4 linked regions of the Alligator mississippiensis genome follow. The protein of the gene in region 4 interacts with the protein of the main gene of each other region in a biochemical or structural test. Links are inferred from orthologs where the notes say so. Each region holds a gene or a part of one and is shown on either strand. Other genes may lie near its edges. The genes, in order: RBPJ, FBXW7, USP10 and NOTCH1.

Region 1 (7,761 bases), on a different chromosome or scaffold from region 4:
CAAAAGTAATTTCCCTGTGCCACTACTTTGTCATCTCTATTTGTATCACATACCAGCTACCTTCCTTATTTCTACTGCATAACAAACACTGGGCATTTTGAGGCCCTTCACAATCTATCTTCACCTTACTATCCTTCATTCACTGTTAAAACACAGAACCTCACCTCCAGTCAGCTGATTATACCAGTCTTCTTTACCCACTTGTTAAAATTTTAAAAAGGTACCTTTGTATTTCTCCCATGCTGCCGCCAACAGCTACACACAAAATTTACAAACCTGATCAGGCTCCCCCAAAACCCTCCTTTTCCTTACTGTCTATAAGCAACAGGCTGCCTATCATTCTGTCCAATGCCATCTCACCAGCTCCCCATATCCCCCTCCCCCCCCATATGACTACATTAATTTTTGGTTTCTTGTCGTATATTTAGACAACATGCTCTTTGGGGCAGGGACCTTCACATAGTTCTGTTTGCACAGTTCTGAGTACAATGGAGTCCTGATCCATAACAAGGTGATTTAAGGGTTCATAATTCCAGAGTTGTTAGGGGCTGGAAGGAACCTTATAGATCACTGGGTCCAGTCCCCCTGCACTTGGGCAGGAAAGACTGCTGGGATCATACATAATAAATCTAAATCTCTCATGGGCCTTATATAAAAGCTGTATACCTATGCATTTTTCAACACAGGTAAGCCTATGATAAAAGAATATTCCATCAGCAAACTGGGTGAAGGTCACAGTGCCAGAAATACAACTTCTATAGCCAGGTATTACTGTTACTAGTCCTTTCAGATTACTGGAACAAGACAATAGGTTTATCAGGCTTATGTACTGCAATTTAGTTTTAACAACTAGTTTTCATGAAAAGATAATATTCCAACATTCACCTCCCAGCAATTACAAAGCATCACTTATACGCTTCATCTAGAAATTTCATGATTGCTAGAAAGTGCATGCAAGCAACAAAAACAGCATGCAACCCTTGGTTACTACATTAACAGATTTATTTTATTTTTAATTCTAAACTGTTTTCTACCCTGTTTTCTAAGATCGTGAGTGAAAATTAACTACACTAGAATGAAGAGAGGTTTTACTACTGTGAAAAATGCCAGTTACTAAAAGAAAACAGGGTATCACATTGCTAATCCAAAACCTAAGTACACTAAAAACACAAAAAAACCCCCAAAACCACTGAATAAAATAAAAACCATACCCGTTAATACATTTTAGCACATCTTTTCAAGGTTCTCTATGTTTTAGGTGATTAACTAATTCAAGATCTGAGGTTAGAATTATGACTCCTCCCTCTCTTTTTACAGGATTTAACCAATTTGAAAATGCTAAACAATAGTTGTATTGTTAGAATTGAAACACAGAGAAACTTCCACCCTTACATTAAAACACAACATATTTTCTATTCCTTTGTTGTTAGTGTGTTTCTCTCATTCGTAAGTTCATTAATTAGTCAAAAATTAAAATGCATCTCCTGGAAAAAACAGATGGGATGTCACGGAGAACATTTCTGTCCCAATCAATAAGCAAAACGAATAAAACTCAAGCACAGAGGCAATTAAGTGACCAGAAACTGGAATAAAATTAACATGCAACCCATGTAAGGCAAACTTTTAGAAACACCATTATGTCTTACTCCCCCAACTCTAGAACTCTAAATAGTGTACTCCACAGATTGCAACACACAAGACTTGCTGTTTTAAAGAAGGTTTAAGCAGCCAAAATAAGCAACAGCAGCAAGTGCCTTTTGAACTCGAATAAAATCAGGCAACAGTTTAACGCTTGCTTTTGACAACCATGAAACAAGAAACTAACAAGTGCTAAGGCCAAAACAAAACAAGAAAATACCATAATGCCGCCACCTCCATAAGAACAAAAGCAACCACCACCAACTCCACCCCACCCCCAAATAGGCTTGGCTCTGTGCTATAACCACAGAGCCAAGCCTAGAGACTACGTAATCCCACGGGGAGAAAAAATCACAGATGCGATGTGAAGGCAGGATATTTAGCCAAACGTGCAAAAAACACCCCCCTCCTCCCCCCCACGCCTAGAATTATTTTCAGCCACCAGGATTTTGTTTCAATCAAGCAGGTGGGGAGGAGGCAAGGCCTACTGCTGCCCTAGCAGCCCCAATCCCCTTAGGGACCAGGCCGGGGGGGGGGGGGGAACTACCCAGCGAGACTAAAGATTAGGAACAGGCTGCAAGCAGGGTTCAGGATAATTTGGGATACCAAGAAGATGCCCACACTCAGCAGTAACACAGCAGGTGACACGGCACGTTGGGGCTCGCGCTCTCTCATTCTCCCTGGCCCGCAGGGGGCATCTGGAAGGACACCGTGCGGGAGAGCCGAGGGGTGCTGCGCGGGCGGGAGCTGCAGCGCGGCCCTGACAGCAGCCGCAGCCGGGCCCCGGGGGTGCAGGGGAAGAGGAACATCTCGCTTCCCGCGCCAGGGAGCAGTGCCCTCCCTGCCGAGCCCCACGCCGCTCGCGTAGCCACGCTGCGGTGCGTGGGGGACTCAACTTCTCCCGGGACATTGCCCGGGAGCCTTTGGGGGGGACTCTGCCGGCAGCCAGAGAGAAGCGCCCTCAGGGCAGCATGGAGCCAGGCACTGTCCCGGCACGGAGCTGCCCCAGCAGCACGGGGCGGGCGCAGGCCGAGCGCTCCCGGGCGAGCGGGCGCGGCCTCGGGCAGGGGGCGCCTCGGCCGGGGCGTCCGCCCGGGGGGTTCTCGGCCCCCGGGGCCGCGGCCCGGGGCGTCCCGCCGGGGAAGCGGCCGAAGGGGCCCAGCCGCCCGGGAGGAGCGGGGCGGAACGGGGAGCGAGGGCGGGGCAGGCGGTGGAGCCCCGGCGGGCACGGGCGGGGGCCTCGGGCGGCGCGGTGCGGCGAAGCCTCCGCACTTACCCTGTCACAACAGGCGCCATCTTCCACAAACTCTCGCCAAAACTCCTAGTCTCGCGAGAGCGCGGCGGCCCTGCCGGAGAGCGCGCGTGCGTGGGCCCATAGAGCGCACACGCGGAGCGCGCACCACCCCCCGCGCGCCGGGCTCTCCCAGTGTCAGTCAGACACAACAGCAGCAGGCGTGGGAACCTGCCCGAGTCTCGCGAGAATGCCGGCGCCGAAGGGAAGAGGAGATGGTGCGTCTCGCGAGAGGAGCGCGAGGGGGATTCCCTGTCGGCGGCGGAGTCTAGGCTCGGAAACTTCCTGCGCCTTGGGGGCGGGAGAAACCATCCCGGGCGGGAGGGGTCTGCGCAGAGCACGGGGGACGCGCCCATTCGCCGGGGGGACGCGCCTCGGAGCACAAAGTGGGCGGCGTGGGGTGGGGCCGGGCCGTAGTTTCCTGTGGTGGGCGCGTGGGGCCGGGTCTCACCCGGCGCCCCACCCGCCAGGCTTGGGGCAGGCGTACCCGCCCGCAGCGCAGAGGGCGAGGGCAACCAGCAGGGAGAACTCAGCTGCCAGCACCTGCAGGCCAAGGGGTTTGCCCTCGAATGGACAGCAACTGCTACGGGCACGTGGCCCCCGGGACCGAGATGAGCGGGTTTCCGGCTGTGGCCGTGGGGGAAGGAGGGGCAGGTGGAAAATGAGGCCGTGATAAAATGGAAGACCGCTGGGCTAAAAAAGAAACCCCCCAAAAAGTGATTTAAAAGTAAAACTGGTCTTAGGACAGCCTCTGTGAAGGCCTCCTCTGGATGCTGCCCCTTCCTGTCGTTTAACGTGATTCAAAAACCCACCGTTCAAGCTGTGTTTTTGCGACCGAGTTTTAAAGTCTGTCAAGCCACTGAGCGGGGATGAAGTCGCAAGCAAAGCCTCAGGACCCAGTTTTCAAGCAAAGTGGAAAAGCAGCTTTAGACATCTGGGCCCTCTGTTGTAGGTGGAGAAAGAAGAATCCTCTTCCTTTTGTTCAGTTTTGTTCATAGTTGAGAAACATTTCAGCTCGTCGTTGCCGAGAGGCTTATTTTCTTTTTCCGATCTATCAGTCAATACTTAGGAAACACAAGAGGTTAAAATCTACTTCCAAAATCTTGACGCACGTGTCGACCCAACATAATTCAGTTCACTAGCTACATAGAATGCTTAGTTTGTTTCATAAGTCAACTTAAAATTTAGTTTAAAATGTCTGGACTCAATGAGGGGGCTGGACTCAATGATCTTCCAAGGTCCCTTCCAGCCCTAATGTCTGTGAATATATGCAACTTTTTTTCTTCTGTGTCTGTCACACTTCAAGTGTATTTATTTAACCAATAAAAACAGTAGTAAAATGCTATTCCTCTGCATTTTATTCCCAATTCCATCCAAATTGCAAGTTGTAAACATTCAGGATTTAAAAAGACCTACACTCTTTATTCCTTGGGTGAATTTGGTATCTTTTATTAGACCAACCCAAATAGTTGGAGAATAGTTATTAAGCAAGCTTTCGGGTTCAAAAACACTTCGTCAGGCTAAGGAAGTTTCAGCAGCTTAATAACTATTCTCCAACTATTTGGGTTGGTATAATAAAAGATATCAAATTCACCCAAGGAACCTTGTCTGCCTATGTCCTTCGACCAACACGGCTACAACCTAAACTCCTACACTCTTTATTGTTTCCTAACCTAAAATAATGAACCAAATGAATATTAGTAGCTACTAAACTATATAATTGCTTATGTGTAAAGATAATAGATCCTTTTGGTTAGCAAAAATACAGACATAATTTAGTGTAAAAGCTATATCAGGACAAAAATCAACAAGAATTAACCTTTCCTCAGGAAATTAAGGAGTACAAATGCAAAGAGGACTGAAATTATCATGTTTTTGATTCAAATCATGATAAAAACCATGATTTGAAACAATCCATCCTGTTACGACTGCTTTTCAACCAAATCTTTTACCTATGATCTATAGATGTGTTTGAAGCTGCAGGCTCTGTTAAGGATGTTAGTGCTTAGTGCAGGGTGGGCAATTATTTCAACTGGAGGGCCACTTAAATGAGTTTTGGTGAGCTGTTGAGGGCCGCACACACAAAATTTGTAGAAGGTATCATTTTAACAAATTGTAGATAAAATCATACACTAAAAAAAAAAAATCAAACATTACTGTAACATTCTATTTTTATTTTAAAAAAAAACAACAATTTTTGTCCTGACTTGGTTTTTTTGAGTAGTGTATATAGAGGTGATTGCATAACTCAAAATAAAGTCTTACTCTAGTATATTGGCAGGGATGGAGGGGGTGTGAGTGGAGGGTGTGGGGTGGGCATATTGTGGGGGAGAGGGGAGGCTGCCTGAGTGCTAGATTCCAGGAGCTGGCCTGGGAAAAGAGGGATGGGACAGGGCAGCATGAAGCAAAGCTTTCCCAGACAGTATGGCCTGCAGCTGCCCCCACAACACTGCATAGGTCCGAGCCCCCGCCCGCTCCCACCCAGGGCAGCCCATACCTGCTAACTGCAGCCCGGGTACCAGCCAGCATGCACAGCTTGCTGGTGAGTGGTGTTTAGCTACCGCCACACCTCCAGCAGCTGCTCCTCTTCCTGCTCATGCAGCGCCACTCTGGACAGGAGGGAAACTGCAACCAGGTGGCTCCAGCTCTTCCCAGATGTCTTCCACTCACTCAGCTGCCTGCAGGTGACTGCTCATCATGCAGGTAGAGGTAGGTAGGCAGGCAGAGTGGGTGGAAGGCAGCCTGGAGCTACAGCTAGGGCAGGAGCCACCTGGGTGCAGCTTCCCACTCACCTGGAGCAGCGCAACAGGGGCAGGAAGATGAAAAGCTACTGGAGCTGGCGGGAGCCAAGCACCACCTGCCGGAAAGCTGCAAGTTCTGGCCAGGCGCAGCAAGAACAGGTGGGAGTCCAGTGGTGGCTGCCCCCTGGCAGGGCTCAGCCCCATGTGGAGTACTGTGGAAGCGGCCGCAGGCTGGATCCAATCTGGGCACCCTCCTGTGGGCCATACTTTGCCCACCCCAGCTTACTGTCGCATACATCCCACATTCAAGATTTTAAAGATTTTTTGGTTTTTTTGATGTACATAGAAATCAATGTCTTTGAACTAGAACATTTTCTCAAATTGTGGACTTAATGAGATGGAGTGTTCAGAAGTCATTGTGTAACAAGATAGATAAATGCCAACAAGTTGAATGTAAGACCTTGCTTCACTCAATTAAATGATCTTAAGAGTTACTTTTTGGACAATCTGGAAAGGTTAGAGGTTGGATGAGAATGCATGAGAAGAGGTATCAGTATCCAAGATCTTAAAATATTTGGATATAGACTATCATTTTGACATTAAGAGAAAGAGAGACAACTTTCCTTTGGGGTTCAGAACAGGTATCTTAGACCTGAAAAAGTAATTCGCATAACAAAATACAAAGTTGACCTTTCGAGTTAAAGGGCGGTTGTCTATTAGATACCTGTGTTTAAAAAGACTAAGATTACGGTGCTTAAAGCTCAGTAGTAGCTCCCATTCAGCTTGTCTTCTTCATCAATCTAGGTTCAAACTCAAATCTAACATTAATTAAAATCCCAATTTGAGAAGGAGATTTTGAGAGTTACTTAATTTTTACTAAATCTGCTGGCTCCCATACTTATAAAAGATTGAATTTTCCATCATGTCCATGACTCAGTTTTTGCTCTGTTTTTATACTTACTCTCCACTGCTAATGCTAACTTAATGCAAGGAAGAAAATCTTGCCAGACAAACTGTAGTGAACTCATGCTTTGGAACTACAGCAAACAACTCAGTTATAATTCAGGAGACTCTTTTCCTATCATGAGTTCCCTCTCCTCATTAATCATAAAAGGATTTTGATTGGTTCCTTTATCGGCACACTCTTCATCTGAAACACAGTGTATACCGCAGATCCTCTGTATTGTTTGTGAAACAACAATTTGTAATCCTTTTGAAAAATTTCTTCTTGAAAACATCTTTTTTTCCCCTCCAAATTGAAGAATGATCTCATCTCATGCTAGTTCCGTCCCATTAAGAATCGTTTCTGGATTCTTGCCATCAACTGTCTCTAGATGGTCATTTTATGGGGCCCCTCTTTTGTGTGTTTTAAATTAAACTGGAAAATGTAAAAATATAGTGCACAATAATATTTAGTGTCTAGACTTCTTTTAATATTTTACAAATAAGACATTTTGATTAATAAAAAAATTAATTGGATCTCAGAGAAGGCACTTTGTTTTCAATAATTAATAAATAGCACAGTAGTTTAAGACTACATAACAGTGCTTTCTATCACTGATTCAGGTGTACTTAACAAAAAGACACTACTGAAACATTTTTAAAATCATAAACCTTATGTAGCAGTACAAAAGGTCAGTCATACTGAAGGTCAGGCTCTTGAACTAAGTCAGGAATACTGTCAAAATCAGAGTTGGTCTAAAATTGGTACTTTCTAGGGGAAAAATTATGGCAAAAGCTCAGACAATTTTTTGTAATTATCACTGTTTATATGTATGACTTCTTTTGCTAAAGGGCCCAACCTCAATAAAGCACAAAATACTCACTTTTTACTGACTTAACTTCAGCACCTCCTTGGATTGAGGTCTAAATTCTGATCGTTGGTAGTGGACAATGCCAGATTTGAGTAATGACGAATTTTAAATACAAGGTTTAGACAATAATTATATGGATTTATTTGTTATGTAAGTCAATGTTTTCAACCTCCTGTGCCAAGTGAGTTAAGGCCCATTACAGCCATGCTGTAACAATGGAAAAGTTCTAAATCTAGCCTACATTTTTAAATCTGTCTAGTGATATTGGGGCATTCTA
Region 2 (7,912 bases), on a different chromosome or scaffold from region 4:
CACTCTCAATTCACAGTCTGCCATTTATTATCCAGCCCAGAGTTATCCACTGCTATATCTCATCTTCCATCTGTAAATGTCACACTCATTTCCATGTGCAAAGCCACTGGATCTGGTCCCCCTGCCTGAAAGGAGGCACATTCAGATGACCAGGATGCTGATGCTGCTGTTTTCTCCTTTGGCACCCTTGCCACAGTCACTCAGGATCCCAGCCAACAAGAGGCCAAGCAACAATCCAGAGAAGCTCACCACAGCAGACCTCTGAACAAAACTATTGGCTAACGAAGTCCTGGTGCCACGGGTGGAAGCTGCCTAGCTGCCAGTCAGGAAGCCTTAACAGTGACCAACTGGTTACTCAGTTGTAGGAGGGCTCTCAGATACAGCCTCTGGCAGGTTTGGCCAGCTAGGCAATTAAGCCAGGCTGTGCTGCCTCTGATGCTGGAGAAGCTCTGTGTGGAAGCCAGTTTATCTCTGTGTCTCAGTTTTCCCATCTGTAAAATGGTGATCAGGATACTGACCTCCTTTGTCAAGTACTTTGAGAACCACTTGTGAAAGCTGGATACTATTATTAAGACAAGGCATAGCCAATACCTTACTGCACATCCTGGAGACCTAACCAACTGCTCTTGTATCTTCCTAGTGTTTCCCTCAGATCAGGCCCTGGATATTTTAATACTGTATGCAGGATCCCTCTGGATTTTGGATAATTTAATCCCTAAAACATTGTAATTATAAACCACTGTGACCATTGTGGTTTATGGTCTTCACAGCTGCAGACAAAATATGCAGGGTTTTAAATGCCCTTGGATGGTAAAGTTCCTGGAAGAATAGCCAAGTTTTCCTGGGCTTAACATTTCACTGCCTGGGGAAGAAACACTTCAGCTAAAGACATCTACTTTTTTATGGAGGCTGCATGGGATAGTAGAGATATGAGGATGGATTTAAGACTGTGTGGAGTATCTTAGTGCTGCATTTCTATACTTTTTACCTTTTTACCTTCTACATTTGAATTTAATGGCTTTTAGATCTATTTTTATCCAAGCTTAGTGACCCTGCCTATTATTAAGATTGTCTGATGCTATCCTTTAGAACATAGAGGAGTCTAGTAGGCAAGGGAGAAACTGGTGAGGAAAATTAAGGGAGAACAAAAGCCTGAAGTGAAACTGTGATCAGATGAAGTGCCAAGGGTCTGGCTTGGCTAAAAGACTAGGACTAGGGGGAGTGTAATAGTGGAGAAGAAACAGATCTGACAAGGAGAGAGAGTTGGGATTGGAGGAAGAAAAAATAGCTTCTTGTAGTTAAGAAAGAAAACTACCCCAGAGAATATTTTAGCCATGCTTCTACTACAGAGATCCTTTGTAAAGTACTTTCTTTTTGAAGAAGTAACTCAAACCAAACTTATTATAGATGGTTAGTAATTATGCATCCCTCATTTTCTGAGCTGGATGGGCCTGACTTGCAGTGCTGAGCACTGGCTTCTACATTTGAACTCAATAGGTCACTGTTTTGGAGTATATAAAGTGATATATAATGCCAAGTTCTCTGAACAACCAGCATTTTAGATTAGGCACCCAAAATTAGTGAGCGTTTTTACCCATCTCTCTGCCTCAGCTCCTCATCTGTAAAATGAGGATAATAACAACTCCGGTATCTCACACAAGTTTTGAGAAGATAAATGTATTAATGTTTGTGAAGCTCTTGGCTGCCATTGGAATAGCTTATAAAAAAACAAAGCAGTACATCCCTGTCTCTGTATGTCAAAGCAAGCGGTGTTTTAAAGGCCTAAGTCTTGGTCCACTGACCAACCCTCTCCCTTTATCCAAGCCATGAACTGGTGCTGTTTTGCATGGGACTGTTATCTAAATTTTTACGTAAGTTGTACCCTGGGGACACTCCTAGAGATGTACTCTGTTCAAGTAGGAGAAAACTGAAATGCTTAATATAGAACAAATACATATGAAGAAAAATTGACAGGTAAGTCACCAGTGCAGTCCACCACAGGCAAGGATATGGGACGTGGACCCAAGACTGAAAATTATCCTGATGGCAGTAAGACATTTGTACACCTGTCAGGGAAAATGACACCGCCAGATTCTTGCTGAGACTCATCACGGGAGTGGGAATGGGAAGGGAAGCTGGCACCTGAAGAGAGTGGGAACTAGGGCTAATTGAACACGGAGACCAAGACAAAGATGAATAGCCTGAAAAGTAGAGATGTGCCACTTGAGAAGCTAGAGCGCATGAGAGAGGGACTGGTGCTGTACGAAGGTTTGGCCATATTTGATCATTGGAAGATATTCATAGAACGAGGACCCTTCTTGATAAATGGAAGCCATCTGAATTCCTGTATGTGCAAGTTAATCACAGGATAACTACAAGCCACTAACAGCTTGTAGTTACAGCTATGAACAAAGCAAATGCAAGCCTAAAATGTATAGATTAGGTATTCCAGTAGAGACTGGGTTGTATTAACTGGACAAGAAAGCTCAGGTGTTTCTGCATGGCACTGCAGTGCATTGTCATCCCACAAAAGGAGAAGTCTAAGAAAACAGAAGAAACTTCTGTGGTGCTCAACCTTTTCTCCCTGCAGCCTGGATGGGCAGCACCTAGTTTGACTGTGGGCCAGGTCTGGCCAGTAGTCCTGATCCAGTGCCCAAGGCAGGCATGGCAGGCACCATTCAGCTACATGGAGGAGATGGAAGGGGCAGGTTGGCTCCAACTCACCCCTGCAGGAGAAAGAAGCTTGATTTGGCCCCACTGGGGGAGGAAGTGTGGCCCAGCCTTAGCCTAGCACTAAGGGAGGGGCCCTGACTAGGCCCAAACCCAGCCCGGGTGGAAGTAACCATGCCTTGCCCCAACCTGGCCCCAGGGGTGTGTGTGGCCCAGCTCAACCTAGAAGTGGGGGGAGGGAGTATGGAATACCAGGGGTACACCTGGGCTCTGACCAGACATGAGAGGCTTGGGTTTGGGGAATTTGGCAGGGGGCAGGGTGGCCATCTCTCTCTTGCTGCCAAATTTCTGGACCTATGGGGAGTCCCATGGGCCAGATGAGATGGCTCTGTAGGCCATATTTGGTACGCAGGCCAGTGGTTAGGACTCCTAGTTCATAATGCTGATACTTGCATCCCTGTTTTAGAAAAATTCAGATGAAAAAGCAAGGAGATGACAGGTTTGAAAATGCATTGGCTAACATTTAACCTCTATAATCATTGGTACTTTTTTTTCCCCTTACATGTGGTTAAAGTTCTTGTTAATTTCACTAGTGATTTCAAAATAAGAGCAATTGCATAGCATTTAGACTGATGTAGAAGCACGAGAGAATACGAGATTTAAATTTAAAAGAAGCATACTTATGTAGATACACAGTAAACACAATTATGTTGGACATAAAAGCAAGAGGATTCAGGCACTGGTCCTGCTTTCCATCTTCTGTCTACAAAGAGCACCTGGAGCTCTCAAAAGAACTTTTCTTTAGGACCCTAAAAACTAGAGACAGACACAGCATATAACCCAAAATGACTTTCCAGAAACATTGCAGCCTAAGTCAGCCAAGGCCTAGTTGCCAATAGCTATCCTGCTGGCATGAGAAGATGACAAGGGTGCTTTTTCAGTCTCTGAAGCAACCCAAGCTAGGGTGGGAGACCAGCAGTACTTGTTTCCTCTGTGATCTGATGTTGACTGTTGATGGTAAAAACTTGTGGTAGGAAACCAAATGTTTTCACCACAATTGCAGAGGAAAGGGAGGTTGATATCAATGTGCTTTATGAGCAGAGCTGAAATTCTGGGTTAAAAGGAACTGCTGTATGGTTCTGTAGAGGGCACGGATGAAATAATCTTCTTTCCCCTTTTTCTTTTCTGTTGCTGATTAGTAGCGAGCTGGATGCTTCCATTGACAAAAAACATAACACCAGCACCACAGGCTTCCAGTGGCAATTGTGAAAGACAGTTGCCTGGCATCTCCCATTTAGTGACACGCCAGACCAGGGCATTACCAAGAGTGGCAACTACCAGCCTGTTCCACTGCATCAAGCACTGGGGGCCACACTTCCTTTTTGGCAGGTGTGCAAACTGGCCCCACCACTCCTTGAGTACCACTCTAACCCCCGCGCCTTTCCCTTGCCTATGGGGGTGCTCTGCTTTCTGCTCCCTGCCTCACCTGCTGCCCTGCTTTCTGCTGCTCTGCTTTCTCCTCCATATAGTGCTCTGCTCCCTGCTAATCTGTCGCTGGGTTCCCTGTCCCCTCCGGGGTCTGCTGCACGCACAGGCTGCCCATGCCTCCGGCGGCTGGCAGTATGCTGCAGGTTGGCCGCTCCCCATTATAAACTAGGGAGCAGATTTGGCTTGCGTTTCCAAGAGCAGGTGAAGGGGGAGCCAAGGGCGGGAGTAGAAGGCAACCTCTTACAGCATTCTCCTGCCCACGAGCAGCGGTCCCGCTTGCCCCTCGCAAAGCCCGTCCTGCTGCCCCCTCCTTTCCCCTTCCCCCGCTCTGCGGCGCGCACCGCGACCCGGAGACCCCCGCCGCCCCGACCCCTGTAAAGACCCCCGGGGGGCGGGACAGGGCGCTAAGCCATTATGCCTGCCTCTAGGGAGCAGCCCTGCTCCGCGTCACGAGACGACTTGCCCCTCAGTCAATCACAGCGGCAACCCAGTGCCGTAGCAGCATTCAAAGCCCAAGCCCCGCCCACTGCTTCTACTCGGCGAGGGCGGGGCTCCGCTTCCTTCGTCACCGCCCCTTTGTCCCGGCCTGAACCAACCCCGCCGGCGGCGCTTCCCCCCTCCCTGACGTCATCGACCCGCGCCCCCGGCCGGGGGTGTGGCCTGTTGCCATAGTGACCAGCTGTCATCTCCGTGCGCCGCGGCTCCCTTCCCCCTCCCCCCCAGCAACCAGCTCTCCCTGCCGTCCCCACCCCCGCCGGAGCCTCCCCCCGGGGCTTGCCCCGCGCCGCGGCTCACCCATGCCAGAGCGCGGCGCGGCGGCGGTGCCTCGCCCGGCCGCCCCCGGGGCCCCGCGGGGCCCCTAGCAGCGCCCCGCGCCTCCGCCCGCCTCAGCGTGCATGAGCGGGGGCCGCGGCCCGGCCCCGCCGCCGCCTCCTCCTGCCCGGTCCGGCCCGGCGGCGGCTCCATGTGAAGGCCCCCCCCTCCCCGCCGGGGCACCCCGCGCCCCCGGCCCCGGCCCGGCGGGGGGAGGCTCCCGCGGCCCCGCCACGGCGAAGGAAGCAGCCGCGCGGCCCCTGACGTGAGTAAACGCCGGGCGCGGGGGAGCACGTGGGTGCGGCGGGGCCGTTGGGGGCAGCGCCCCGCCCCGCCGTCGGGGCCGGCTGTCCCGGGTCTTTGTCGAGGCAACAAAGAGCTGCCCCTTCGCAGCCAGCCGCGGGGCCGGCCCCCTCGTGGCCCGCGGGGCGGGGGAGTGCCAGCCCCCTCTTGGCTCGGCCCCTCTCAGGGAAAGACCCCTGTCCCCTGCCGGAGCCAGCGGTGGCTCTTCCATGGGTTGCCTGAGCTGGGGGTGCGGAGGTGGCCTGGGCTGGGGGGCTTCTGAAATCCTTTGAGGTCAAACCGGCTCCAGACGGGCAGTGCTTTCCTGCCTAGGAGCGTATGGGCAATGGGAAAGCCTGGCCCTCGGTGCTTTCTGCCTAGGAGCGTGTGGGCAATGCTTCTGTGCCGCCCTGATGCGGGGAGTTGAGTGTTGCCTTCGTAACTTTCCTTGTTTCTGGGAGGACCAAGGAACTTGAACTCAAATCATCGCCCCCTTCCCTGCTGATCCGAGCACCCATGGGGATAGGTGGCATCTTGCCATGCTTAATTTATGCATCTTCAGAAAAAGCAGCGTGGGTTAGTTCAGTCTGACAGTAACATTTCTCAATCAGGTGCTGCAGCACCTTGGGGCGCCTGGAGATCTTTACCAAGGTGCCACATGGTGCTAGCATGGCGAGGCGTGCACTCATGATGCACGTGATGGCTTCAGAGATTTCAAACAGGCATTCGGAGCATTACAAATGCTTTGCCCGTTCAGGCTTTCTGGGTTCTCAGCTTTAGTCTTTTTCTGTTGCCAGAAAACCAAGGGAAAGCTAAGAGCTGGCATTTTCTGAGAGGGGCTTCTAGTCTTACTGAGAGGTGCCTCAAGTTTTTAAAAAAGTTGAGGACAATTGCTGTAGCATCCTTGGCCAGCAGCTGTTGGCGAGTTACAGCAGTCAGGCGTTATCCCACCACACAGGCTCTGAATAATTTAAAATCTTTGCAGGTTGCGTTTTACATTTGAGCGTTTGGTTTGTGCGCGCTGGGTGTGTTGTAAGGTTGTGGCCAAATTAAGTGTGGTTCTAGCGCTTTGATTTACATGGTAGGCACTTCAGAAGTATTGGCTCTGATGTAGTGCGGGAGTTTGTATAATTTTCATTATGAGTATTTTTTCCATACAGAAATCTAGAAAAGTATGATAGCAAACTCTAGCTAGGTAATTTCCCCTTGCTTGATATTTTCAATGAATGGCATAGAAGGTCAACAGTTGACACACTTCTATCTAAATTCTGGTATCAGCTAGGAATATTTTAATTGAAAGACCTTGTTCCCTGTCTCCTGCCCGTATGTTTGCTGCATACATTTGGCAGCAGGTAGAGTCAGTTTCCCAAGTTTGTTTATAGCCATTTTTTCACTGGGAAGGAGTTGGAATCTAAATCCCATTGATTTCTTTTTTCTCCTTGGGTGGTTCTGTTTGTTTTCAGACTCTTATGATTTAAAGGGCAATAACGTATGCAGAGACAACCAGATTACACGTGTTAATTGCACGCCAAGCTTGTAGAACCAGACTTTGAAATAGATTGTATAACCTCCAAAGTGGTTAGGCAGGAAGAAGTAGAAAAGGTACCTGAAACTTTAAAAATCCTTTCAAGTCAATCAGCTTGAGACAGGCAGCGCTTTCTTGAACAGGAGTATGCGTACAACACTCCTGTGCATCCCATATGCAGTGCATTGAGTGTTGCCTTCATAACATTCCTTGCTTCTGTGAGCACTGAGGAACTTGAACTCACTTTACCACTCCAATTCCCTGCCATTCCTGGCATCCATAGGGATAGGTGGCATCTTGCCACATTTAATTTATATATGTTTAGAAAAAGCAGTGTGGGATATTTCAATCTGACCATAATATTTCACCGTTCTCTTAACACAGTAGCTTTTTGTCACATCTTGACTCCAAATTAAATGTATTTTTCCCTTCCTGTTGCTGTTCCCCTTCCATTTTGCAATAGCCACTGTTCTTTGTATACTAAAAAAGTTATGTTCCTACCTGTTAGAGCCATTTTTACAGTATTGTAGGTGTTCAGTATAGATCACCTTGTGAAAGCAATTCATATTTGCTGTTTAAAATGGAATAACGCTATTTTTTTATATTTGCATTACCCTCTTTGTTCTCAGTGTGACCAGTGAGTCTCATCTTATTCATTATTACATTGTTGTTGGGTAGAAACCCAAACTGAGAGAAAAATACTTAAACATCTTATAAAAAAAAATTGAGCTCCATTCATGGTAGCTATTACAAACTATTTCCTTCCTCCCCAAACTGAAAATAACTTGCATTTCTTCTTGGGTAGTCAAATTTTACATTACCCATGGCAGACACTCACTGTTTTTTTTGGGGGGGGATAGTGTTTACATGTTCATTCTTCTAAATAGAATGTCAGAAAATGTAGGGTACAGGAGGACTCCTTTTGGGCCTACCATCCTCTTTACACAGAGGGGCACTGTTGCCAGTCTGGCTTTATAAAAGAAACTTGAAATAACACATGACTTGTCTGAAGTATCTGGACTGTAATTAGTCTGATACTTGAGCTTGTTGACTCTTGCTCTTAAGACCATGCAACTCTGAACTGATTTTGCATATACACCATTAGCATACCTGATATCAAAACCAAATCCTTAA
Region 3 (6,860 bases), on a different chromosome or scaffold from region 4:
TATGAAATAGCTTCTTAGAATAATAATTTTAAAAAGCACAAGCAGCCAGTGCAATTGAACTGTGATGGGATATTCTCAAATGCATTTTGTACGGATCATCAAAACTAATTTTAAACTGAGCTTTTCAACGAGTCAGACACTCTCCTTTCAAATAAAAGCACTACATGTGTAATGAAAACCTGTGTTTAGTCTCCCCCATCCTGCTAAAAATCTCTTGGTATGAGAACACTGTTTGTGCAAAATCTGACTCTGTGTTTCAGATTTCTCACAACAGTCTTCTTGAGCTGCAAATTATGATCTTTCCTTTGTGACAAACTATTTTTAGCAATTAAACTCAAAAATACCTATCTTGGGGGAAGACAAATACTATGCGATTTAGAGTTCCAATCTTGGAACATTTTGTTCATATTAAACTTTTTTCCTCAGTCTTTACCCTAATACATTTTGATGACGTTAAAAATCAGTAACACAGCTGCATCAAAAACTTCACCTTCATTCATATAAGAAACTTTTCTTCTTCACCTCAGCGTTCCATAAACTGCTCTCTTGAGGATGCCCTCAGAAGTCATTTCCCTGCCAAGTTTTACTCACCTCCCTACTTTAAGCATTTAAAGCAATATCTTTCTATAGAACAAAATACAGATGAGCAAAATCTGCTGATAAAAATAAATTTACCAAGATTATTGGCAAAACTGTTCTATCAACTCATTTGTTAAAGATATGCACAAATGGGCTTAAATCCTGAGTTTGATATACTGATTTTTACCTTAAGGGCAATCTCACTGACAACAAGAATACTCAAGGGTATGTAAAGTTAAACTCAATTCTTTTGGATCAGGGCCCTAATGATTTTCATTACAAAAAAAGCAAGTACTGGAAAAAGCAAAGGTGAAGGCATGTTACACTTAAACTAGTTTATTTTTAAGCATTGTGCAGTTCTACTAATTGATCAGCCCTACTAATTGATCAGCACTATTTCTCAAAAAGAAACATCAGGACAGGGACCAAGATCTGCCATGGGCACATCATGAAAACCCGCCTTTCAGTTTCACATGATACCTGAATAAAAATACCTGTATACAATGCCTGTTATACTCAACTCTGGGGACTGAGAGCAGGGTGGATGGAGAAGAAAACAAAAATGCTTGCAAGCTGAACCTTGAGATTTCTGTTTTCAAACGCTGCAAGTTGTAGTCTGCCTGCTAATTACCATGTATTGGTCAAGCTCTTGCAAAGTTATGGAGCATAAAACTATATAAGCACCATGCTACGTACTAATACATTAAGTACAAATGAACAAGGTGTAGAAACTTTAAGTACAATGACAAGGCAAAGAAACCAAGCACTAAGTGTCCAAAAAAAAAAAAAAAAAAAAAAAAGCTTACAAAATCAGGCCCGACAAAAATGCAACTAGAGTAGTTTCATCAAGTATAAACTGTGCTTCAAAAATGCTATAATTAATAGGAAGTTTTCTTAGAGCTGTATATTTTAGTCAATAACTTTCAGAAAGAAAACAGAACAAAACGCAGTACGTGACCATCTTAGCTTAACACCTTTTTTTTTTTTTGGATGAAATGTCATTTTTCCCCCAACCCCATGAAACAACAGGTAGCAGGCCGCCGTGCAAGGGACAACGCAATCCAAGTTCAGGAAAACTTTGGCGTGCCCCCCCCCCCCCCCCCGCTTCAAGATATATGCTTACAAAAAGATGCTCCCTCAGCCTGACAAAGGGTGTCTGAGCCCAAAAACTTGCTAAGAATTTTTCCAACTATTTGAGTTGGTTTAAGAAAAGATATCCGATTTACCCGAACAACCTCGTCTGCCTACAAAAAGCAGCGCCCATCAGCGCGGGCAGGCACTGCTGCTTTACGCCCGTCTTTAAAACCCCGAGCCTCCACCTTGCCCATTCAAACATGTGTCCCGCCTCGCCCCGCCCCGCCCCCTGCCCGCCCCGCCCCCTGCCTTTTCTTCTTGCAAAGGCACGAGGCCCAAACGGAGCTGCTGGGACACCTTTCAACCTTCCCCTAACGTCCACAAAAAAGAAAGAAGGAGGAACGCAAAGGAAAGGGGAGGGCAGAGGGCATTTCATCCAGGGCACAAAGACAGCTTCCTGTGCCCGAGGCAGACAGCTTTGCATTGGAAAGCCTGGCTAGCGTTACCCCAACAGGGGAGTTGGTCCAAGTTAAAAAAAATTAAAAAGGGGGGAGGGGTGTTAATACTCAGAAACCAGAGAAATACAGACCGACAAACAGCGCTACCCCAATGAGGGAGCTGCTCCCACTTAAGGGGGAGGAAGAGGGATAGCCCGGAGAAACCAGAGCCTGGCAGAGTGAAAGGAAGAAATGAGAAAAGAGAAAGGAAAAGAAGAGAAAAAAAGGAATTAGGAAAAGAGGAGGAAAAAGAAATTAGGAAAATAAAGGAAAAGAAAAGAAAAAAAGGAATTAGGAAAAGAAGAAAAAGAAATGAGAAGAGAAAATAAATTAGAAAGGAAAAGAAAATAAATTAGAAAAGAAAAGAAATGAGGAAAGAGAAAATAAATTAGAAAGGAAAAGAAAATAAATTAGAAAAGGAAGCAGCCCCCCGCTAGTGCTGCACCCCCTGCCCCCACCCGCCCCACCCTGCCCCGCAGTCCTGTCTGCAAACCTCCCGGCCCCGGCCCCGGCCCCGCTCCCCGGCGCGGCGCGGCGCGGCGCGGCGCAGCGCAGCCGGCGGAGGAGCGGGCGCGGGAGCGGCCCCGGGAGGGGGCGGGGAGGCGCCGCGGCCGCCGCGAGGCGATTGAATGAGGCCGCAGAAGGGCGCGGGGCCTAGCCGGCAGCATGCTGCCCGCGCCCCGCGCCGCCCCCCGGCTCCGCCAGCGGCCCGCGGGCCCCCCGCGCGGGGCTGGGCCTCACCTGGGCGCTGTTGAGCGCCATGGCGCCCCCGCGGCCCCGGCTGCTCAGCGTCGGCTCGGCCCCTCACGCCGCGGCCCCCGCCGCCGCCATCTTGTCTCCCGCACACACCAGCCGGGCGGGCGGGCGGCGCACTGCGCAGGCGCGGGGCTCGGCCCGGCCCGCGGGGCGACGTCTGCGCATGGCCGGGGAGGGAAGAGGGAGGGGGGCAGTGCGCAGGCGCAGCTCAAGCCCTAGAGGGGCGGGGCTGGGCTGGGCTGCAAGGAGGCAGCGTGCGCAGGGCTGGGGGCCTGGGAAGGACCTTTGCTGCCTGATGAAGGGTGTCTGCGCCCAAAAGCTTGCACTTCAAAATTATTATTATTATTATTATTTTTTTTTTTGCAAAAAATCTAATAAAAGATAGGCAGACAGGGTTCCTTGGGTGAATCTGATATCTTTTATTAGACCAACCCAAATAGTTGGAGAATAGTTTTTAATAAAAGATATTATCTCTGATTGCTTTCTCACCCCTGAGGCATGCACAGAGCCACGAAAATATCCCCTGCTGCTTTTCTACCTTGGAGAACTCATAACACCAGCAGACTCTCCCTATGCCTGGGTGTTTGTGCCCAAAACCTTGCAAAGAACAATTTTTTCCCCCAACTATTTTGTTGGTCTCATAAAAGAGAGAGAGAGCTGCGTCTGCCCATGCCTCTGAGCTTGAGGCTGACCCAAGCAGCACCGTCCTCATGCTTTGCTAAGCACCATGGCTGGTGCTCTTACCCTTTTATGATCTGTAAAAGTATCGCCACTCATGGGAGAGGTGATATTTTTTATTAAACCAACTAGATTTTTGCAAAAAAAAAAAATCATTTGACCCCAGCTGCCTTCCTGCCCCTTGCAAAAATCTAGGTCGTCTAATAAAAGATATCACCTCTACCAGCTATCTAGGTTGTAGCCATATTAGTCTAGAGGAAAAGGCAATCAGGACTTGTAGTAGAGATGATATCTTTTATTAAACCAAAATGGATTTTTCCATCTATTGACACCTCTGAAATCTTATGAAATATGAACTTTCGTTTCTACCCAAGAGAATTTGTACAATCTTCTCCAGTGCCTGATGAAGGGTATTTGTGCCCGAAAGCTTGCAATTAAAGAAATGTTTTTGCAAAAATATTGTTGGTCTAGTAAAAGATATCATCTCTACCATGGGTCCTGATTGCCATCACCTCTACCACAAGTCCCGATTCCTTTTTGCCTCTGAACTGACATGACTACAACCTGGATACCAGTAAAAGTATCTGCGCATAGGCAGCCTTAAAGGACAGGCCTAGAGGCACAGCAGGCTCAGAGAGAGAAATCTGTCCTACCTCCATAGTTAGATTTGGAGGTGATCAACTGAACTCACTACTTGGGTGAGAGAGATTTTAGGAAAGCTTTCAGAGCACCAAGAAACCAGGGCCTGGCCCTGGCAGAGACAATTAGGCTTGCAACACAACCTCTGCCCACATATGCACACACCCCTCTCTCAGGTCTCAAATAGCAGCAGAGCTTGAATTAAATAAAGGATAGCACCCCCCAAAAAAATATTCTTGCCTCTCACACATTTCCTAGACCATTGAGGCTATGTCACTCCAAAAATACTCTGTAGTTCTCATTTATCCTGGTTCTGTGCAAGCTCAGGGTGATTCTTCCTCTTGCAAAGCTGCTAATAGCATGTGTAAAGGTCCTAAATTGTTCTATGCGCCCCAGAAAATAGCACCTCAATGCTAGTCTGGTCCCCCCCACCCTCACAATGCTATATCCCATGCGTGAAGGAGTTGTCTGCTCCATTTGACAAACTAAGTGAGCATTCCCATTCACTGCATCACGGCAAAGTAGACGAGCTGCCATATGCAGTTGGTGAGCAGGCAGGATAACGGGTAGTATATCTGCAATGTATTAATAAAAACCCCGATTAAGAACATACACACGTGCGGTCACGGGCTGCCTCCAGAAATGTAGAGTGCACGCCACGACGTCCCAGGATACGCTGGAGTGCAACCAAAGTTTTGATGTTTGCCTTCACCACTGAAACAATTAAATCCTAATTGAACTTTGGGAAAAAATGATGCATGAAGACAAATAGAAAGGAAAATACAGGCATATGTAGTGACATACTGGGCTTTTCCTTTCCCTGCAAAAATCTCCCGACTGATTTTTTTTTTTTTAATTTAATCTTCACTTTTTTGCCCGAATAAAAATATTGTCCCTGGCTGTTACCAACAATTTCAAGTGAAACTATGAAATGAAGCATTAGAAGAACTGAAATACCCATCTCTGCTGAGCTTACGATTAGGGTTGAAGCTAATATTTGATTATTCTAGGAGTAACATTTTCCTCCATAAAAGCACCAGAGATGGAAAGCTTTTAGCCACCTTGTTTTGATAAGAGGCCTTACCCACTGTGCAATTCAGGTGAAGCTGCACTAAGTGTGCATATACCAAAGCATGAGCAACTTGATGGAATAAGGACTTAAATTTCTCAGCAGATTATTTTTTTCTGTATTTGCTTTTGTACCTTTTCTCTGCCACACCCCAGCCCTGCCACTCCCTCTCCTCTGTTTCTGACAAGTGTTGCTGTTTTAATCCGGGCCGGGAAGAAACTAGAAGTAGAAAACATTGCATGTTATTGAGGAAAAACAAACAGCTTTAATAGTTTTAAGGCTAGGCTGAAAAACAGTCTAGGTGTTTATTTTACAAGGAAACTAGTGGGTAGGTACAAACTCTTGGAAAGTTTACCTTTGTTGAGGGCAAGACCCATGTCAGGCTAGAAAATTTGCTCAAGTAAAAGCAAGCAGTTGACAGGGAAGGGTGTAATTATAAATGGCTGAACTTATAGATGAGAATGCTGCAGTATCACACCACCCACCAGTTTTTTAGTTAATTAATAATTATTCCAAGCAGTAGCTGATGGGGAAAAGGTGTGTGGTTAAAACAGTGATGCAAGCCATAAAAGAGTACCTCTGGCTGAGATTAGGGAACCAAACTCTAGTCTTTAAAACTTTGTAAGAGAATACTTGCCTTCGGAAAAAAGGGGGCTAGAGGTAAAGTAATGTTTGTAAATACAGATATTGTTGGTAAATTATTGGATATTAAGTCCAACCATTCATTAACATAGGATATGTTATGCATCATGCGTAGGATAATCAGTTGTAAAGCACAAGAAAACAAACCTCAGTATACTTTTTAGTTATTATAATTATATAATGTATCCATACAGGATGGCCATTTATGGATATGTCTTCAGCACCATGTGAGTCTGACTAGGTGAGCAATACATATCAGTACTATTGCATGAAGTACACAACATATGTTTCACAGTATTACTCAATTAAATTTATGGTTATAGCCCCAGATGAATAATTCAGCTCAACTGCAACCTCTGATTCACTATAGAGTTAAAAATCTTTTCAAAGCTTTTAGATTAGTAAGAGAAAATATGAACAATTTCCAAACCTCTTTTAAGGGCACAGAGAAATAAAGAGATCCTATTTTTTAGCAACTTAAAATGTTACCTAAACTGTGAGATTCTTTTGTGTTACCCTCTTAAAAAAAAACAAGACACTGCTGAACTGTTTTCATATTGTTACGAAGGGATGACAAATTACTACTAAGCTTCAAAGCCTATTATAGTACCTTCTGAAAGAACTGAATGTTGGTTAAGGTATCATATGAAAATGAACAAATTCTCAGTTTCACCAGGGGTTATCATACAGAGCTTGTCATTTTTAATATTTTTATCTTTGTGTAACACCAGGGGAACAGTGTGACATCTTATTTTTCAAGAGTATTTCATAAAAACTATCTTATAGTTCAGGCAACCATAACAACAGACTTTCACTTGTTGTGAAGTCTCTTTGATCTCAGGTTTTGCCAATTCTATCATCTGTTTGAAATAGTTAATGCAAAAATCCATTGCCCTGTGTCTGTTAAGCTCATCAACATCCAGTAC
Region 4 (7,219 bases):
GTTTTGCTTAGTGCACATCATTTTCCTAGCTTGCAGTAACAAAAAAAATTCCCAGGGTTTCACTCATTTAATTTTAACTTATTAAAATGTTTAAAGGTATTATGTGGGGTTCTCCTTCCTTCTGAAAGAAAACTACTTGTATGGACACTTGCCAGTGTTTCTATTAAAGCAGTTTTACAAGCATCACGTTAAAGCGTACCTAAAATCCCATTCCTTTAGCCCAAGAGACCATTCCAAATAAACACTTTCTTTGGAGCTTTGTTATAGTCACCCACAACTTTTTCAATTTATTATAAAAGTATTTTCATGTAGTGTTTAAGAGCATGTCTTTTTTTTTTCTTAAAACAACAACATGGGTATTGGTTGCAGCCCTCAGGAGAAGTGGTTGAGTAAACGAGTAAATGAAAGGTTGCTCTGTACTGAAAAGCTGTGCTGGGGAGATGTGCCTTGCAGTCAAGGTCTCCACTGGGTTAAAATGACACACTTAGATAGCGGACGAGGAAGGTTAGTTCTCATCATAATGACTGGCGGGGTTGGAAAGGCTTCCACGGAGAACGCAGCGACTGCCGCAGGCACCCGATGGGACCCACTGGATTCTGGATCCAATTCTATTCCCTACCGAGCCCGTTCCAGTGGGGACGGGATCAGGCCCCTTGCATTTGATGCACCCGAAGCTGTGTTTAGCGTCTGCCTGCATTCGGAAAGCTCTCTGCCACGGCTGGGACCCTGGGTGGAAATATTCCCGGATCTATTTCCTACTCGGACTCTACACGTTCTTTTACCTGGCCAAGCCCGTCTCTCGAAGGGGCTTCCACAAGGTCAGGGGACGGGGAGTATGGGGGTGACCTGACCTGAACAGCTTCTGTTGTTGCCACCTTTGTCTTTCATAGAAGAAGGGGGACCGCGGCCCAATTCGCATCAACCCTGACCCACCGGGACCCCCTGCGGCAGCTTGTACCTAGACTGGTCTGTCTCTTAGCCTCACCCATCCTTGCACCGGCATCAGGGTGCCCATTCTTGGGAGGATCCTCGACCGCAGAGTAGATCCAGCACCAGTGGCTGCTGGTGGCTTAACCGGGGGATTGTGGCCCTAAAAGAAATCAAGGGGCATTGCCAGGGAGAGAGACGGCCTGTTTCAGCTAAGGACCTTGGTGTTCTTCACAAACGTGTTTTCTGCCTGTCACAGATGGAGATGATGAGCACAAGGGACCGGCCAGGAGAAATTAAAGATAAAGCCAGGGCCCTTGAGTTTTCTGAAGTAGTCCCATAACATCCTATGTAGTCTCTCGTGGCAGGTTTCTGGAAGAAATAACCCAAGCAGGCACACAGCTAAGCTGAACGTGCAGTGCTTTCTCTGCTCAGGGAACAAGCCCAGGCAAAGATAACATAGGTATTTCCAAGCGGGTAGAGCAGAGATGGTCCCTGCTAACTGAAAAAAAGCAAAGAAAAAAAACAAAACCAAGGAGATGGGGAAAACAGGCTGAAATGCCATCTCCCCGAGGGCTCCAGATGTGCCAGGGCAAAACAACACGCTTCAACCCTCAAAGCCAATTCAGACTTGATTTATAGTCCCTTGAAACGAGAACACTACAGAGCATCGCGGCCTGTGGGCTGCAAACCTGTGCAAGCTGCAGCCCGGGTCTGGGGATGTCAAGTAGGAGACGATCAAAGGAGATCCTTGCTGTATTTGTATTGAGCAAAGGTGCTAAGGTGCAGGGGTGTGCAGAGCGTGTGAGTAGCCCCAGGCCCCGTGACCTTCTTTACTCTGATACCTGTTTCGGTGACCAGAGCAAACCAGAGTATAAGGGGGGGAGAGAGTGGGGCTTTTGGACACCCGAGCAACTTCAGAAAAGAGCTGCAGTAACAATCCTACCTGCCCGTGGCTACGACTAGGCTGCTTCGTTGGGTTAGCACCCTCCACTCTCCATCCCTATGAAAGAGCCAAACGTTGCTACAATTTGTGTGCTTAAAACTAAGCCAAATCCAGGCTGGTACCGAGGCCTGCTCCTGGGCTGTTTATAACCCACTGTGCACACCTGTGTGGACATCCGTGAGTTTGGACTTGTGGACGCCTGTGAGTTTTGGATTGCAGTTCTTTTGATCTCATCCTTGCACTGCTTTTCAAAAGGGGGCTCCTTGCTTATCTGAACTGCATTTTTCAGGGTAGACGCAGAGGCTATTTCTTTTTTTTTCAAATGTGGGGGCCTAAAGTTATACATCTAGGCTTGAATTTTGAATTCAAGCCCTGATTCCAGAGGCCACCCGGATCCCTGAGAAAAGCTCAGCCTGAAATCCATGTTTGAGCCCCCGAGTAAGAGGCGGGTTTCCAGGCAAAGCCCCAGGACAAAAGAGGCAAGAGAAACAAAGGAAAAGCACAACAGAAAAACAATGCTGTAGGGTTTGTTCCTTTGATCTCGTTGAGCAGAGTCTGCTCCTCGGTTTGTTTAATTGTTTCACACGTGCTCTGGAAATCATTTACAACAGGAAATAGTGGGATGGCACCCACTCCCAGGTGCCTGCCGAGGAAAGACAAGCCAGGGGTGTCACATCGAGGGCCTCCTCCCGTTTTTCTTCCTTTGACCAAACACACGCTCGTCCTGGCAGTGTTACCAGGAAGGAAAACCTGGGGGGAAAAAACACTGAGTTGGCTACATGGGAGGAATAAAATAGCTACAGCTGTTTGCTGTACAACTCCGCTTTCCTAAGAAGCCTAAACCTGCCACGAGACACATGAGGACAGACCCCGCGGTGGGTCTCACACCTGGCTATCCGCAGAGCCACCAGCAAACCAAAGGAGAAAGCCAGGAAAGTCAGGAAGCCCCCGACTTTATTCTTGACTTTGCCCCCGATCTGCTAGGAGGATCACTGAGTCCTGGTCTACACTCAGCTTTTTCTGAACCTTGCCCAAATTTGCACTCACGAACATAGCTCTGGGTGGTGGATTATTAGAGAGCGCTAACGTAGACACGGCACCAATATGTTTTTACCGCTGTGCCACCTCGCTCTGCAGTGCACGGGCCTGGAAGACATGGTGGCATGCCAGCCAGGGGACCGGGTAGAGCAGTATTGCCCCATGTGCTGCCACGGGCACGCTGCAAACCTCTGTCTGTGCACAGCCTCTGGTCCCATTTTCACAAGCAAAAACTCAGCACCTCAACAGGTGGCCTGGTTTCAATTCAGTTGCGGTTGCTGTGATTATACAGGAATGGCCTGGCCCTGCTGGAGTAGCTCTGTAGGGAGGGGTGATGGAGGCAGTGGGACATGCTATTATTGTTGCCTCCCAGCCTTGGAGCTGGCAGGTCGGTGGATGTGAGATCCTTCAGGACCCGCTCCCAGGGACAATATTGTGTGGCAGCACGACCCTACAGACTCCTGGGGTAGGAGTGTGGGACAGGATCTCTCCTTCCTCCAGATCTGCCCTCTGTGCTCATTCGTTCACTTGCAGCTGTTGCATGCCACTGATTGCACGTTCAAGGTGGGGGGAACAAACACCCTGTAGCCCACCTAGGCTGTTTTAATAGGGCATACCTATTAAATACAGCATACCTGGGGAGGTCCTAGCCCCTGGGCTGGAGCATGAGCTCTGCCGCAGGGCCTGCATGACCCGCGGAGGGCACACCAAGGGGGCATTGGCACCTGTTGCACACCCGGCGCCCGCAAAGAGGCAATTGCTCTGCCCGCTCCCCTCTCTTTTTCACCCCATGGGTCATTCAGCCCCGCCAGATTCAAACAGGGACCGGACACATCCTGGGAGGAATCAGACCTGCCTAGACCTGAAGTGGGGGGAGAGAGGACACCCTGGTCCTGCCCAGTTCTTTGGGCGGATGGGGTCTCTTTTATTAGACCAACTCAATAGGTGCCCAAATTGGGCTTTGAGTGCCAGTTCAAGGTGAGGGGAACCAACACCCCAGGCTGTTTTAAAAGCAGATCCAGGGCGGGGGCTGGCGGGGGGTCTGCAGGTGTACGGTGCTGCCCCCTGTGAGGCGGGCAGGAGGTGCCGTGCCGCACACGCACACCTGCTCGGGAGGCGCGGGCTGCAGGCAGAGGCGGCTGGTGCACGGAGCTGTCCCGGCGAGGGCAGGGCAGGGCAGGGCAGGGCAGGGAAGGGGCGGGGGCGGCTCGCACCGCCCCTCGGAGCGGAGCGGAGCGGAGCGGAGCTGGGCGGGGGGGCCGGGCGGAGCCTGGTCCCGCGGCGCCGAGCACTGGTGACTGGGCGGCGGCGGCGGCGGCGGGCAGCGGCGCTCGCTCCGGCTCCGGCTCCGGCCCCGGCTCCATGCGGCTCTGAGCGCCGGCGGCGGCGGGATGCGGCGGCGGCTCGTGCTGCCCGCGCTGCTGCGGCGGCTGCTGCTGCTCTGCCTCCTGCCCGCGCCCGCGCCCGCGCCAGGTGAGCGCCACCGACAACTTGTGCCACTTGCCGGCGCGGGGCCGCGCTGCCGGGAGCGCGCGCGCGCGTGTGTGTGTGTGTGTGTGTGTGTGAGAGAGATCCCTGCGCGCAGTCGGCGGGGGGCAGGAAGCGTTGTGTAGTTTGTGCGCGTGCTGCTGTGCGTGTGTCTCGTGCGTGTTGTGTAGTCCTGGGGGGTTGTGTGAGTGTGTGTGTCCCGTGCGTGTTGTGTAGCCCCGGGGGATTGTGTGTGTGTGTACCATGCATGTTGTGTAGTCCTGGGGGGGTGAGTGTGTGTGTGTGTGTGTGTGTCGTGCGTGTTGTGTAGTCCCGGGGGATTGTGTGTGCGTGTGTACGTACCATGCATGTTGTGTAGTCCTGGGGGGGGTGAGTGTGTGTGTGTGTGTGTGTGTGTGTACCATGCGTGTTGTGGAGTCCCGGGGGATTGTGTGTGTTTGTGTGTGTGTGTGTGCTGCCTTGTGTGTGTCCTGTGCATGTAGTCAGGGGGTGGGGGGGTGAGATGCGTGTGTCCCGTGCATGTTGTGTAGTCCAGAAGGGTTGTGTGTATGTCTGTGTGTCCGTCCGGCGCATGCAGGCAGAGAGAGTTGGTGTGTGTGTGTGTACTGCCTTGCATGTGTCCCGTGCATGCCGTCGGGGGGGGTGTGCACGCTGCTGTGCATGTATCTTGTGTGTGTAATCGGGGGTGGGGTGTGTGTGTGTGTGTGTCCTGTGCATGTAGTCGGGGGGGACAGTGTCTGTGTGTACTGCTGCTGTGCGTGTCCCGTGCATGTAGTCAAGGGGAGGATGTGTGTCCAGAGTATGCAGGCAGGGGGAGTTGTGTGTGTGTGTGTGTGTGTGTGTGTGTGTGCGCGCGCCCAGTGCAGGCAGGCAGGGGGAGCGTGTGTATGTGTGCATGTGACCGTGTGTGAACGCACAGGGTGTGTGTGTGTATGTGAATAGGCAGACACTGTTCTTTAGGTAGATGTGATATAGTTTATTAGACCAACTAAATAGTTAGAAAATTGTTCTTTGTATGAGACCTGTTGCATGTGTGTCCAGAGCATTCAGGCGGGGGGGGGGAGAAAGCGTGCGTGTGTGTGTGTGTGTGTGTACGTACAGCTCCTCCCAGCCTCCCCTGGGTTTCCCCCGGTACCTGCCCGGGGCTGGCTCACACCCGGCCGGGCTGCAGGGCTGGGGGACAAGCTGCCGGGCCCCCTGGTGCCCCCCACCCCGGTGGGGCCGGCGGGAGCTGGGGTGCTCTCTGCCGCCGGGGCACAGCCCATCCGCTGCCCCTGCCCCTGCCTTTGCCCCTCCCCAGCCCCTGCACCCAGCCCCGCTTCATGCGGGCCCTTAGTCATAGCCGGAGCGCAGCAGCCTTCCGGGAAGGAGCCGGGCCCGGTCTGGTTTCACTGCACTTTGCATAGCTGAGCAAGACAGAGGCTGCTGTGTAGGCAAGCCCCAGGGGAGCGAGTGCTGTCTGAGTCCACCCGCTCTTCCAAGCAGCAGGTATTGAGTATCAAGTGCGAGACCCTGCCGGAGTCCTGCCCTCCACTCACTGCCGCAGCAAGAGGTGTCTTGAAGGCCTGACAATGGCCAGCTCTGATTTCCCCCTTTGTCCCAGGCTCTGCTCCGCAGCTGTTGCTTTTTCCCACGAGCCAGGAGGGGAGTGTGCGCCTGGTGCTTGACAACTCTCCATTCTCCCCCTGCAGCACAGCCAGCAGCCAGACGCTCCGCGAGCGTTTCGGGGGCGTTTTCCTGTAGGCAGGACAGTAGCGGCATGCAGGAGTCTGGAAGGGAGGGGGGAACGGGGCAAACAATCCCAGTAGATGGCTGGAAAGCCGGCGCCCAGCCTGCCCTGTACGCCGAAAAGAAAGTTGGCAGATAAAGTTGGCCGGGAGAGCGGCCCGCGACGCTCTTTGCCCTGCGGCTTTCCTTTAAAGCTGCCTCGCGGCTCCCTTCTCCCGCCACCCTGCAGCAGTGCCCTGGGGGTGAATCTGCGAAGGAAACACCCTGGACTGGAAACACCGTATGCGCAGCCCTGGTACCCCCCGCCCCCAGTCTTGCTGGTGCTCTGGACCCTCCAGCGGTTGTTGCTCTTGGTTTATCTACCCCCCACCCTCTCCCTGGGCATTTTTACTCTTTATTATTTCTATGGGTTTTACAGAAGTTTTTGACTGTACATCAGGAGCCATTATCATCAGTATGGCAGTGAGCTTTTTCCAGAGAGAGTTGAAAGCAGACATTTGGCTCTCAGGGCCATGTTAGCAGCCTGTGCAGGTCTAGTGAGTAGACTTCAATGGACTGCTCAAGTGAGCAATGATTTTTGGTTGGATCCCTTGCTTAGGTTTGCAGAATCATCCTTGTCACCCAAACTTTCTGGCCCTGACCTCTGTTCCCTTACCCAGGCAGGTTTTTCATGGGTGTTTCTCTGAGAGCTTTCCTGAGTGAAGAGCCTAGCATCTAGCTTCTAGTCCATCAAACTTTGCAAAAAAACAGCTTTTCTCTGAGTGGAGAAGAGACCGGGCCCTGTGAAAAGCCCGTTGTGCCTAGAAATCGGTCACAGCACAATCAGCCGTGCATTTTTGTGTGGTGCATCATTTGATGGCATCTTCTCCCGAGAGCCCCTTGCTCCCAGGAGTTTGGCAAAGCTGCGGGCTCTCTGCAGACCTGCTGTCGTAGGCTGCTCACACGCGGGCTTGTCTTGGCTCAGACCTACTCCGAGTGAAGTCACGGCATCCCCACGTGACACGGCAGATCCCATGTATTGATTCCACCACCTTGATCAGTGGAAGGCCTGCCTGGATGTCCCGTCTTTAGGTTCAGAGGCACGTGACTCCT

Evidence for each region.
Region 1: the proteins of NOTCH1 (region 4) and RBPJ form a complex in vitro, tested with the Homo sapiens proteins (5 studies listed by BioGRID and IntAct, with this or other methods). The link is inferred for Alligator mississippiensis from reciprocal best matches to the Homo sapiens genes NOTCH1 and RBPJ.
Region 2: the proteins of NOTCH1 (region 4) and FBXW7 form a complex in vitro, tested with the Homo sapiens proteins (2 studies listed by BioGRID and IntAct, with this or other methods). The link is inferred for Alligator mississippiensis from reciprocal best matches to the Homo sapiens genes NOTCH1 and FBXW7.
Region 3: the proteins of NOTCH1 (region 4) and USP10 form a complex in vitro, tested with the Homo sapiens proteins (2 studies listed by BioGRID, with this or other methods). The link is inferred for Alligator mississippiensis from reciprocal best matches to the Homo sapiens genes NOTCH1 and USP10.

The regions. Positions count from the first base shown.
Region 1 is NC_081825.1:39,903,478-39,911,238, reverse strand, and holds the start of RBPJ (recombining binding protein suppressor of hairless), read right to left. Parts: upstream 3,013-7,761; 5' UTR 2,935-3,012; coding exon of another isoform or gene 2,915-2,934; intron 1-2,914. UniProt on the Homo sapiens protein: Transcriptional regulator that plays a central role in Notch signaling, a signaling pathway involved in cell-cell communication that regulates a broad spectrum of cell-fate determinations.
Region 2 is NC_081825.1:96,224,849-96,232,760, forward strand, and holds the start of FBXW7 (F-box/WD repeat-containing protein 7), read left to right. Parts: upstream 1-4,894; 5' UTR 4,895-5,236; intron 5,237-7,912. UniProt on the Homo sapiens protein: Substrate recognition component of a SCF (SKP1-CUL1-F-box protein) E3 ubiquitin-protein ligase complex which mediates the ubiquitination and subsequent proteasomal degradation of target proteins.
Region 3 is NC_081833.1:72,403,164-72,410,023, reverse strand, and holds the start of USP10 (ubiquitin carboxyl-terminal hydrolase 10), read right to left. Parts: upstream 3,011-6,860; 5' UTR 2,913-3,010; coding exon 2,892-2,912; intron 1-2,891. UniProt on the Homo sapiens protein: Hydrolase that can remove conjugated ubiquitin from target proteins such as p53/TP53, RPS2/us5, RPS3/us3, RPS10/eS10, BECN1, SNX3 and CFTR.
Region 4 is NC_081835.1:63,112,284-63,119,502, forward strand, and holds the start of NOTCH1 (neurogenic locus notch homolog protein 1), read left to right. Parts: upstream 1-4,218; 5' UTR 4,219-4,302; coding exon 4,303-4,384; intron 4,385-7,219. UniProt on the Homo sapiens protein: Functions as a receptor for membrane-bound ligands Jagged-1 (JAG1), Jagged-2 (JAG2) and Delta-1 (DLL1) to regulate cell-fate determination.